Neurospora crassa OR74A: one gene and its partner. The protein of the gene in region 1 purifies or fractionates together with the protein of each later gene. This does not show direct contact. Links are inferred from orthologs where the notes say so. Each region holds a gene or a part of one and is shown on either strand. Other genes may lie near its edges. The genes, in order: stk-52 and crp-10.

Region 1 (4,353 bases):
CATCCACGAGTAAACGCACCCCTTCCAGAAACGCTTACCAGGTTGACGCAAAAACTGAAGTTGGCTATGAGGTTGGCCGTCAATCTCGAAAGATATGTAAAGAAGCCTTTTACTTTCATCCACTGAAAGTAAGAAGCTCCGACGTTCCTGAAAGGTCCCTCCCGCCACAGCGCAACTCCGGCCCTCTCAAAATATATCACCACTGGAAACATCTACTGAGGGGATAAAAAAAAGGAGAAATAAAGAAAGGGGAATGGGGAGCGTATAGTAGAGGCATCTTCCTCTTTATAAGTACATATTAAAGGCAACAGGAGACTACTGGAATCTCCATGGGATTAATAGGCGCCCAGTATGGGAGCAGACCGTCAGTGCTCTCTTTGGTCGTCATAGCCCGGCTTGACCACTCTTTAGGTGGCTCGCCAGCGACTCAGACCTGCCTTCTGAGAAAGTGTCTCTACTCGAAAGCAGGAGGCTTCGCCCTGAAAACAGGCAAAACCATTACAAGCTCGTTTGAGGAGACGACAATCTCAGGCAGGCTTTACTGCTTTCATCATCCGGTTGCTTTACTTGCTGCGTCTGTGTCGCAAGGGATGATGGCCAAAAGTGTAGCCAGATCAAACGGGATGGGGTGAGGTATGAGAGAGAAACGCCAAACGCATCAAAGCAGGATACGCAGGCTGGAAGATGACATGATCCATTATTCTTTTAGCGCCATAGAAGCCATACCCGAGCCCATTAGCAAACAAGACAAGAGAAAGAAACCAAGAAAAGCTGATACTTGTAGACGACCACAGCTTAGTGCTTCCTCCTCGACGTGCTGTTCACCAACTTCTTCTTCATCGCCTTGGGTATCTTCTCTTTCCTCTTCTCCCTCTTGGCCTCCTTAACCGCCGCCTTGTGCTGCTTCTTTTCGTCCTTGTCGATGAACCTCTTGCCTCTTGGTGTTCCCTTTTCGAATCGGCTCTCGTCATCCTCGTCATCACTACCCTCCTCTTCGTCACCACTGCCCTCCTCCTCCTCATCAGACTCCTCCTCTTCCTGATCCTCCGCCGTCTTGTGCACCACTTGATCCGCCAACAGGTTCTTGTATACCAAATCCTCTCCTTGACCCTCGTTTACCTTGGCGACATCCTTCTCGATATCGTAAACCTCGTTCAGCGTCTTGGGGATGTACTGGTTTCTGAAAACCTCATTGTCGACCTCCTGCTCGGCCCTGGCCTCCGCGGTATCCTCCACCTCCACCCTCGTCTGGTACAGCTGTTCGACCGTCTCCTTCATACCGGGTTCCTCGGCCGGTCCCTTGGGGTTGACGATGAAATCGAAAATCGTGCGGTCTGAGAGCGTGTCGACACCCTTCCTCCTGAAGAAATCGCCGACGTTCTTGATATCCATACGCAGGAACTCGAGCGAGTGGGGATGGTCGTGCTCGACGGATTGGGAAACATCAATGATGTAGAGCTTCTTGTTGTTGTAGAGGATGTTGTATTCCGACAGATCGGCGTGGACGAGGCGGCAGACTTGGTACAGCTTGCGCATGAGGCCGAGGAGTTGGATGTAGAGGTCGCGCCATTGTTCATCGGCGTCGTCGCCCGAGATGGGAGCGTCGCGCAAACGGGGGTAGGCCCAGCCCTTGCGATCTCCCAAGAAGCTCATGACGAGCACGTGCAGCTTGAGCTTGATGGGCTCCGGGCAGGGGATGCCGGCTGTGTACAAACGGCGCAGGTTTCTGAATTCCTTTTCGGCCCAGAGCTTGACCATCTTCCTGTTGTTTCCCTTTTCACTGCCGCTCTTGAAGCGGTGTTCACCAGTAATGTACTTCTCGCGATCCTTGAACACCAGAATGGCCGTCTTGTAGATCTTGATGGCCTTGTGTATGGGGGCCGAGCCATCCTCGGGGTGGAGTATGGCACCGTAGACGTTGGCTTCCTTGCCCGTGCTGATGGCGCCGTGAATCTCGGAGACAAAGCCCTGGTTGATCATCTGCAGCAGGATCATGCGCGTGCGCTGGTCGAGGACGAGTTCGGAGGTGGCGCGATCGGACTTGTCTTTGCTGCGCTCGGCGGGACCGGAGGCATTGTCGAAGGCGTCGATGCGGATCTTTCCGGCGAACTTGGAGAGGGCGGCGATCTGGTCGTCGACGCGGGCCGACGTGTTGGCTGTGGGTTTTTGTTGCTGGGCCTGAGCTTGGGACTGCTGAGAGTTGGTAGCACCGGCGCCATGTTGTTGGCGGTTGTACGACTTGGTCAGGTCGGTGCCGCCATCTTCGTAGTCGAGGTCATCGTCGGATTCAAAGACATCTTGGAGGTCGTCGTCGTCGTCTTCCTCTTCGATCGCAAGGTTGTTGAGCTGGGCGGTGGTGTTGCTGAGGTCGACATTCTGGTTGTCGGTCGCCGCTGTGGTCGACGTGAGTTCTGGTTGGGACGCCATCTTGCTGCCGAGTCTGCTTTCGTCAGTTCCGCCGATATCAGCAGGTGGTGATGAGACAGGATGGCAGACGAAATGGAAATCGTCATGGAACTTGCGAACTTCCACTTCCCGTCCACTGGCAATTTTCTTGGTGGGGCGAGCTTACCTTATCTTATCGTAATGCGGGGTGTCTTCCAGTGGTAGGGCTGTTTTCGAGATTCAGGGTTAGGGTAATCCGTGAGTATCGAGTTCTTGACGACGACTCGACTCGAAGACGGATTGGAATGGAACTGAAGATGTTCTTGGATGTTTCCGTTCCACATGATATGGCTGCTTGTTAAGTAGTCTTCGGCTCACTTTAGGCTTCAGCATTCATAACATCTTTTCTTGCCTCTCCGAGTACAGACATTGCACCCCTGCACCGATGGCGACCAGTTTGCCACTGGAGTGAGCTTGTCGCCTAATAGTTAGTACGCTAGGCGATGATGCTGACGCTATCATTCTGATTCATTCCACTTCCACATTCATTCCTTGAGCTTTGGTTTGCATCTTCGACATCTCAACACGGTGCGGAACACACCTACTTCTGCCGGTGACTCAATCAACGCCAACAGCACTAACAGCACCCAGTGTACGCTTCCCTGTTGGACAGAACCCAGCTGTTAGTGCTCAAAAGGGGCGACCACCCAAAAGCCAATTCTCCACCCATGGGGCATAGGCCGATCCCCAAAGTCATCAAGCTAGCAATGGACACCATGGTCCCGGGTAATTACAGGGAAACCTAACATCATCCTTCTTACATTCCATTTTACTCACGGTCAAATCTGGTATATGACCTCTGGATATTTGCGTCTCATCAATGGAAACGATGGAGACTTGCAATCAAAGTAAACCCATCACGACCTTCTGGCCTGCTTCCACCTCATCCTGCAGGCATACATTGACATGACGCGTTTAGATGATTCGATTCATGGTCGTTGATGACTCCCACGTCAACAAACGGATAATGGGTCATCGACCACCCGAGTTCAGGAATGAACATATTTACATCATGTGTGAGCCGCAACTTGATGTCAACACGGAGCATATAATAGCACAGGGCCACAGTTTCCAACATCCAATAGGTAGGCGCGTCTCCCAATTCCCTTTTTATTTTATTCCGGCAACCCCCATCGGGATTCCAGCCTTGCCTAAACGGGCTCACAACTTCACTCACCATGTGCCACTCCTACATGGAACATCACTTTTGCCGTAATGGCGCCGATTGTCCAGCCGGCTATGGCTGGGTCAACGAGCAAGGGCAGCTGTACCGACGATGGTTCGAGCGCACTAGAAGACGGGTTTACTGCTATGCCAGTAGCAGCGACTGCCCAACCCGCAAGCGGGTGTTGATGACTGACTTATTCGTTTCAAGACGGATTGATGAGCTGTGTCCCCTTTGCTCGGCCGCAGCATGATTGGTATGGGAACAGTAATGGCGATGAGGTTGCTAGGGGGATATTTAGTCATTTGGGTCAAGGTCACCCGGGGCCTTAGAGATCTATTCGGAAACTTTGTTTTATGCTCGGAGTTTCCATAGATTGCTTTGATGCTCTGCCCCATTTCATGTCGAACATTCGCTTCTTTATTCCCTCCGAGCCTCAACTCTCAAATATCCCCCCTTCCTGCCCCTCAAAATTTCCCACCTTGTTCCATTCATCGGTGTCCTTCCCTTCACGCAGATATACTCCCGAAACATACCCGCACGATATCCCCAAATTTCCGGCGCTTTCATTGTGTGACATTAGGGTCCTCTTCTGCCATGTTGGAATCTGGTTCAGCGTTTCCGCTAGGGTTGTCCTTTTCCAAAAGTCAGAAAAGGCATAAAATGGAAACGGGAAGGCGAGCGCGTACCTAGGGATTCTACATAGGTAATTTTAGGGAAGAGCAAGGTGTGTCCTTAGCGGA
Region 2 (4,359 bases), about 1.2 Mb from region 1:
GGGGAGAAGGAGTAGTCCTTGTTGATCGTAGAGATCCTCCATCCCAGTTCGCGTGACTTTTCGCTTATCCCTTGCCGGCGGAACTCGGCTCTGACATCGTATAGGTCCCAACCGTTGATTTTACTTTCGGGTGAGTTTGGTGGAGGTCGGTAGCTGAAGGCCAGCAGCTTATCGACGCTTCCTAGCTTGCATGTTCTGGACTTGATGAACTCGAATGCCTCCCGGGCTTCCTTGTCGCCTGCGAAGTTGAAGCTAACATATGTAAAATCTCTGAACCGAATACGTATCGAGGAAGGAACGCCACTAGAAGGGGGCGTGGGCCGTAGGGTGCACTGTGAAATAATGTGGAAGGCAAACCACACTTGCTTCACACTCTTTTTCAGACTCGGATCTGCGGCAGTCAAAGACTCGGGGGGAAAGCGGAAGACGAGATGGTAGTCACTGAGCGCAAGGTCGCCGAGCTCCGGCTTTCCGCCTCGCAAGGCATGGATGTTTGCGAAAGTCTGGCATTCGGTTCAGTAAAGAAAACGAGACGTAGTTGGAAAGGTAGATGATGGAGAGCATACGTGCTTGAGGTGAGGCGCCGCCATCGTGATGTTGGGAGGTAATACTAACTACCCCGGCACTATGAGGCGCTGTGCAGCCGAGGTAGGAGACCGGACGTCCGAGACCCAATGTGTCCGGACAGGAGCGCAAGACGTGTTGACAGATGCGGTTGCGGCGAGAGGAACGGGGAGAATAGAATCTGCTTCGCTTAAGATGTATCGTAGTTGTACAATAGTGCCAGACTGCAGGACTGGGAAACAGAAAAATGTACCAATTAGGAACATGTGTCCTGATATAAACGAAAAGGAGGAACTTCGCCGCGCAGTCACTGGTGCCGGTCAACGATAAGTGATTCACGCGGAACTTGTTGGGATTTCAAGAGATTGTCCCCGAGGTCCACGTGGAATCGATTTGGAGGACAGGTATTTAAAGGCGACAGGGACTGGTAACTTTGTAAGCTACAGAACCTCTGCTGCTAATCCTCCTGCCGTCCGAATCCAAGGGTATGCGAATAGTGACTGCGATTTGCGAACAAGCAGAAAGTCAGCATCTGGAGTGCAACGCGCTCTGGAACCGGGGAAGCGACGATTGACGTCGATGGACACCCCACTATCAGCGCCACCCCGAACCCGACTGAGGACGGAACGTTCATGGTGCCTGCCGGTGTCAGAAATTGCCCGAGCCAGCAACGACTGACAATCAAAGGAAGTGAAGTGCACGAGGTGGTCTGGGCGCAAGGCTGGGCCTGGACGGGGACGGGAAGCGCAAGGAAGCACCTCAACCCCACATGTGAGATCTGTACGTATCTCCTTTTTTGGGTTGCGCTTGGCGGCTCCTACCTAGCGTTGGGCGCGCAGACTGGGTGCGGATTGCCAGCCGCTTGCCAGCCGGGATGAGCCGTGGCGGCTGTTAACCCTACTCAGCCAGCCACTCAGAAGCGGCAGAGGGCAGCCCACCAAGGAATTCGCAAAAAAAGTAGCTGTGCCGGTCGAATTTCCCCCCATCTTTTTGAAAAGTCCGGTGAACACCGCGAGAAGGTATCCCACTCCATCCTCCTCAGCAGCACAATTGAAGCCCTCAGGACCTTCATAGCCAAATCGCAAAAATGGCTGTTCCCGGCACCCAGATGTAAGCAACCAGAGCAAACCAAGAGCATGGAAGCCTCCTACATGTCTACTACACGTCTTCACGACTGTCTACACGTCGGTGCGATCTGCTGCTGCTGTGGGGGTGCAAATGCAAAACGAAGGCGTTCAGTCACGAAGCCGGGAGATATGCTGCCCGCTGGTTGCAGCAGATTCAGCCGACGGGGTGGGATTTAGAAAGTGGTGGCTTGGAAAACAACAAAAGCGGCGTTGATGCTGACTGCTTCTCTTTCTGTCTACAGTTCCAAGCGCAGAAAGTTCGTCGCTGATGGCGTTTTCTACGCCGAGCTGAACGAGTTCTTCCAGCGCGAGCTCGCTGAGGAGGGCTACTCCGGTGTCGAGGTCCGCGTTACCCCGACCGTCACCGACATCATCATCCGCGCCACCCACACCCAGGAGGTTCTCGGCGAGCAGGGCCGCCGCATCCGTGAGCTCACCTCGCTCATCCAGAAGCGCTTCAAGTTCCCCGAGAACTCTGTCTCCCTCTACGCCGCCAAGGTCCAGAACCGCGGTCTCTCCGCCGTCGCTCAGTGCGAGTCCCTCCGCTACAAGCTTCTCAACGGTCTTGCCGTCCGTCGTGCCTGCTATGGTGTCCTCCGCTTCATCATGGAGTCCGGTGCCAAGGGTTGCGAGGTCGTCGTTTCCGGCAAGCTCCGCGCTGCTCGCGCCAAGTCCATGAAGTTCACCGATGGCTTCATGATCCACTCCGGTCAGCCCGCTAAGGACTTCATCGACTCTGCCACTCGCCACGTTCTCCTTCGCCAGGGTGTCCTCGGTATCAAGGTCAAGATCATGCGCGGCTCTGACCCCGAGGGCAAGTCCGGCCCCCAGAAGTCTCTCCCTGACGCCGTCACCATCATCGAGCCCAAGGAGGAGCAGCCCGTTACCCAGCCCATCAGCCAGGACTACGGCGCTAAGGCCGCTCAGGTCCAGGCTGCCGCTGAGGCTGCCCGCCAGGAGGAGCAGGCCGGTGAGGAGGAGGCCGCTGCCCCCGCCGCTGAGGAGTAGGATAACCTCAAGGTCGGGTCAAATGAGGTTTTGCCTTCGATCGAGGTGCCTGTGTCTTTCGACGAGCCTGAGGTCGCTCCTGTGGCGGAGTTCAATTTCGGCGCGGACGATACTTCCATTGTCTGGTAAAGGCCGCTGGGTTTGGGCGGGGTCTTTTTTCAATGTGCTTGCAAGTCCAAACAAACACTGGGTTGCGGAAATGGATGGGTTCAATTTGGCGTCAACTATGGTCATAGCACATTTGCATTAAGACTTGCGAAAAGGGGAAATGGCGGACGGATTGTTGCTTGGGATTATAATTGTTTTTTGTAACCCCACGATCAATGCAGCAACGTCGGGAAATTCCTGACTTTCGCCAGGGAAATAAGATACCTGAACAAGCCCTCCTTCCTTGCCTTGTTTTGCGATTGCCAATTGTGCCATATCCTTTTGTGTGATGAAGGAGACTATTAATGGAATATAGGCACCAATCTAAGTGAGGCATGTGAAGAAATTCGTCCGTAGGTTTGTTGATATGATATCATGGCCTAAATCGGGACATGGAATGTAAGCAGGTAAACATCAGCCACTCTCAGCTCAAGTGTCCCGCAAATATCCAACCGTTCAAGATTTCCCGTCTTTGCATAGTAGCTTCACACCGAACATTTGACGAACACTGGAGGACTGATGAATGTTAACATACACTAAATGAGCTCTGTCTTCACTTGCTCCGACGTTGTTTTGAAATACACGGTTACACCGACTTTGGATATTCAAGCTGACAGACTCCTGCTCAATCGTTCAAGACTTAACAAATAGATACTTCGAGACAAGTAATCTGGATCTTGTTCTGGCACCAGTCCCTTGTTTAAAAAGGGAGGAAAAGGATATGGACGTTTGAGGGGAATAATACACAACTTGGAGGTATAACAGTAATGGAATATAGTGTCTAGGGGCAGTTAGGACTCGGAAAAGTTGGGAATATGGGATCCTATGAAGGGGTAACACATCATTAAGGCACCCGCTCGTACTTGGAACCAATAAGAAACAAGGTAGAGATACTTCACACGTTGTACCTAACTCACGGAGAAGAAGAAGAGAGTCAGGACACGCATAACACTTTTCTTGTTGTATTGGTTTCAATCATCCATCTGTCTTGGTCCCCATATATAAATGAATCCCTTGTGAATTCCCTCCCTCCTTCTCCTCCTCCTCACTTCGATCTGTTGTCTATATCTCCGGTCTTTGCTCTGCTTGGTCTGAAAGGTGCTGTGTTGTGTGTATAGATCGACAATCAATTCGCTCCATTCGTTACAGATTTTGGGGGTGCCTCGGGTTCTTCTTCACTTATACGCCCCTCTTTATACATCTTCGTTTACCCTGAAGACTTTCATGGTATACACTCAGATAAATCCTCAACTATCCCTTCAGAAGAGGGAACTCTCCTTGATGCAGACCTCGAGACTGCGGTCTCGGATTAGGCAAGTTCGGTCAAACTTGGTGGTGGGGCCCATACACCGATTCCCACCGTTATTTTTCTGTTTCTCGCGCTCGACATCGTGGTAGAGTGGAACGTGAACTTCCCGTCCGTTGCACTAAAGGCTAGGCGTGCATCTGGGAAAGTAGATAGCGTAGGTAGAATGGTTTGGTACATAACGATCTGGACTGCGCCTTGAGCCCA

The links.
Region 2: the proteins of stk-52 (region 1) and crp-10 purify together in Saccharomyces cerevisiae (affinity purification with mass spectrometry; 3 studies listed by BioGRID). This does not show direct contact. The link is inferred for Neurospora crassa OR74A from reciprocal best matches to the Saccharomyces cerevisiae genes RIO1 and RPS3.

The regions. Positions count from the first base shown.
Region 1 is NC_026503.1:5,215,454-5,219,806, forward strand, and holds stk-52 (serine/threonine-protein kinase RIO1), read right to left. Parts: upstream 2,819-4,353; 5' UTR 2,573-2,818; intron 2,441-2,572; 5' UTR 2,428-2,440; coding exon 796-2,427; 3' UTR 309-795; downstream 1-308. UniProt on the Saccharomyces cerevisiae protein: Required for the final endonucleolytic cleavage at site D converting 20S pre-rRNA into the mature 18S rRNA. Required for the final steps of cytoplasmic maturation of the 40S ribosomal subunit.
Region 2 is NC_026503.1:4,034,993-4,039,351, forward strand, and holds crp-10 (40S ribosomal protein S3), read left to right. Parts: upstream 1-1,491; 5' UTR 1,492-1,651; coding exon 1,652-1,674; intron 1,675-1,933; coding exon 1,934-2,699; 3' UTR 2,700-3,694; downstream 3,695-4,359. Other genes in the region: NCU11185 (protein phosphatase), read right to left, coding at 1-503, 567-590. UniProt on the Saccharomyces cerevisiae protein: Component of the ribosome, a large ribonucleoprotein complex responsible for the synthesis of proteins in the cell.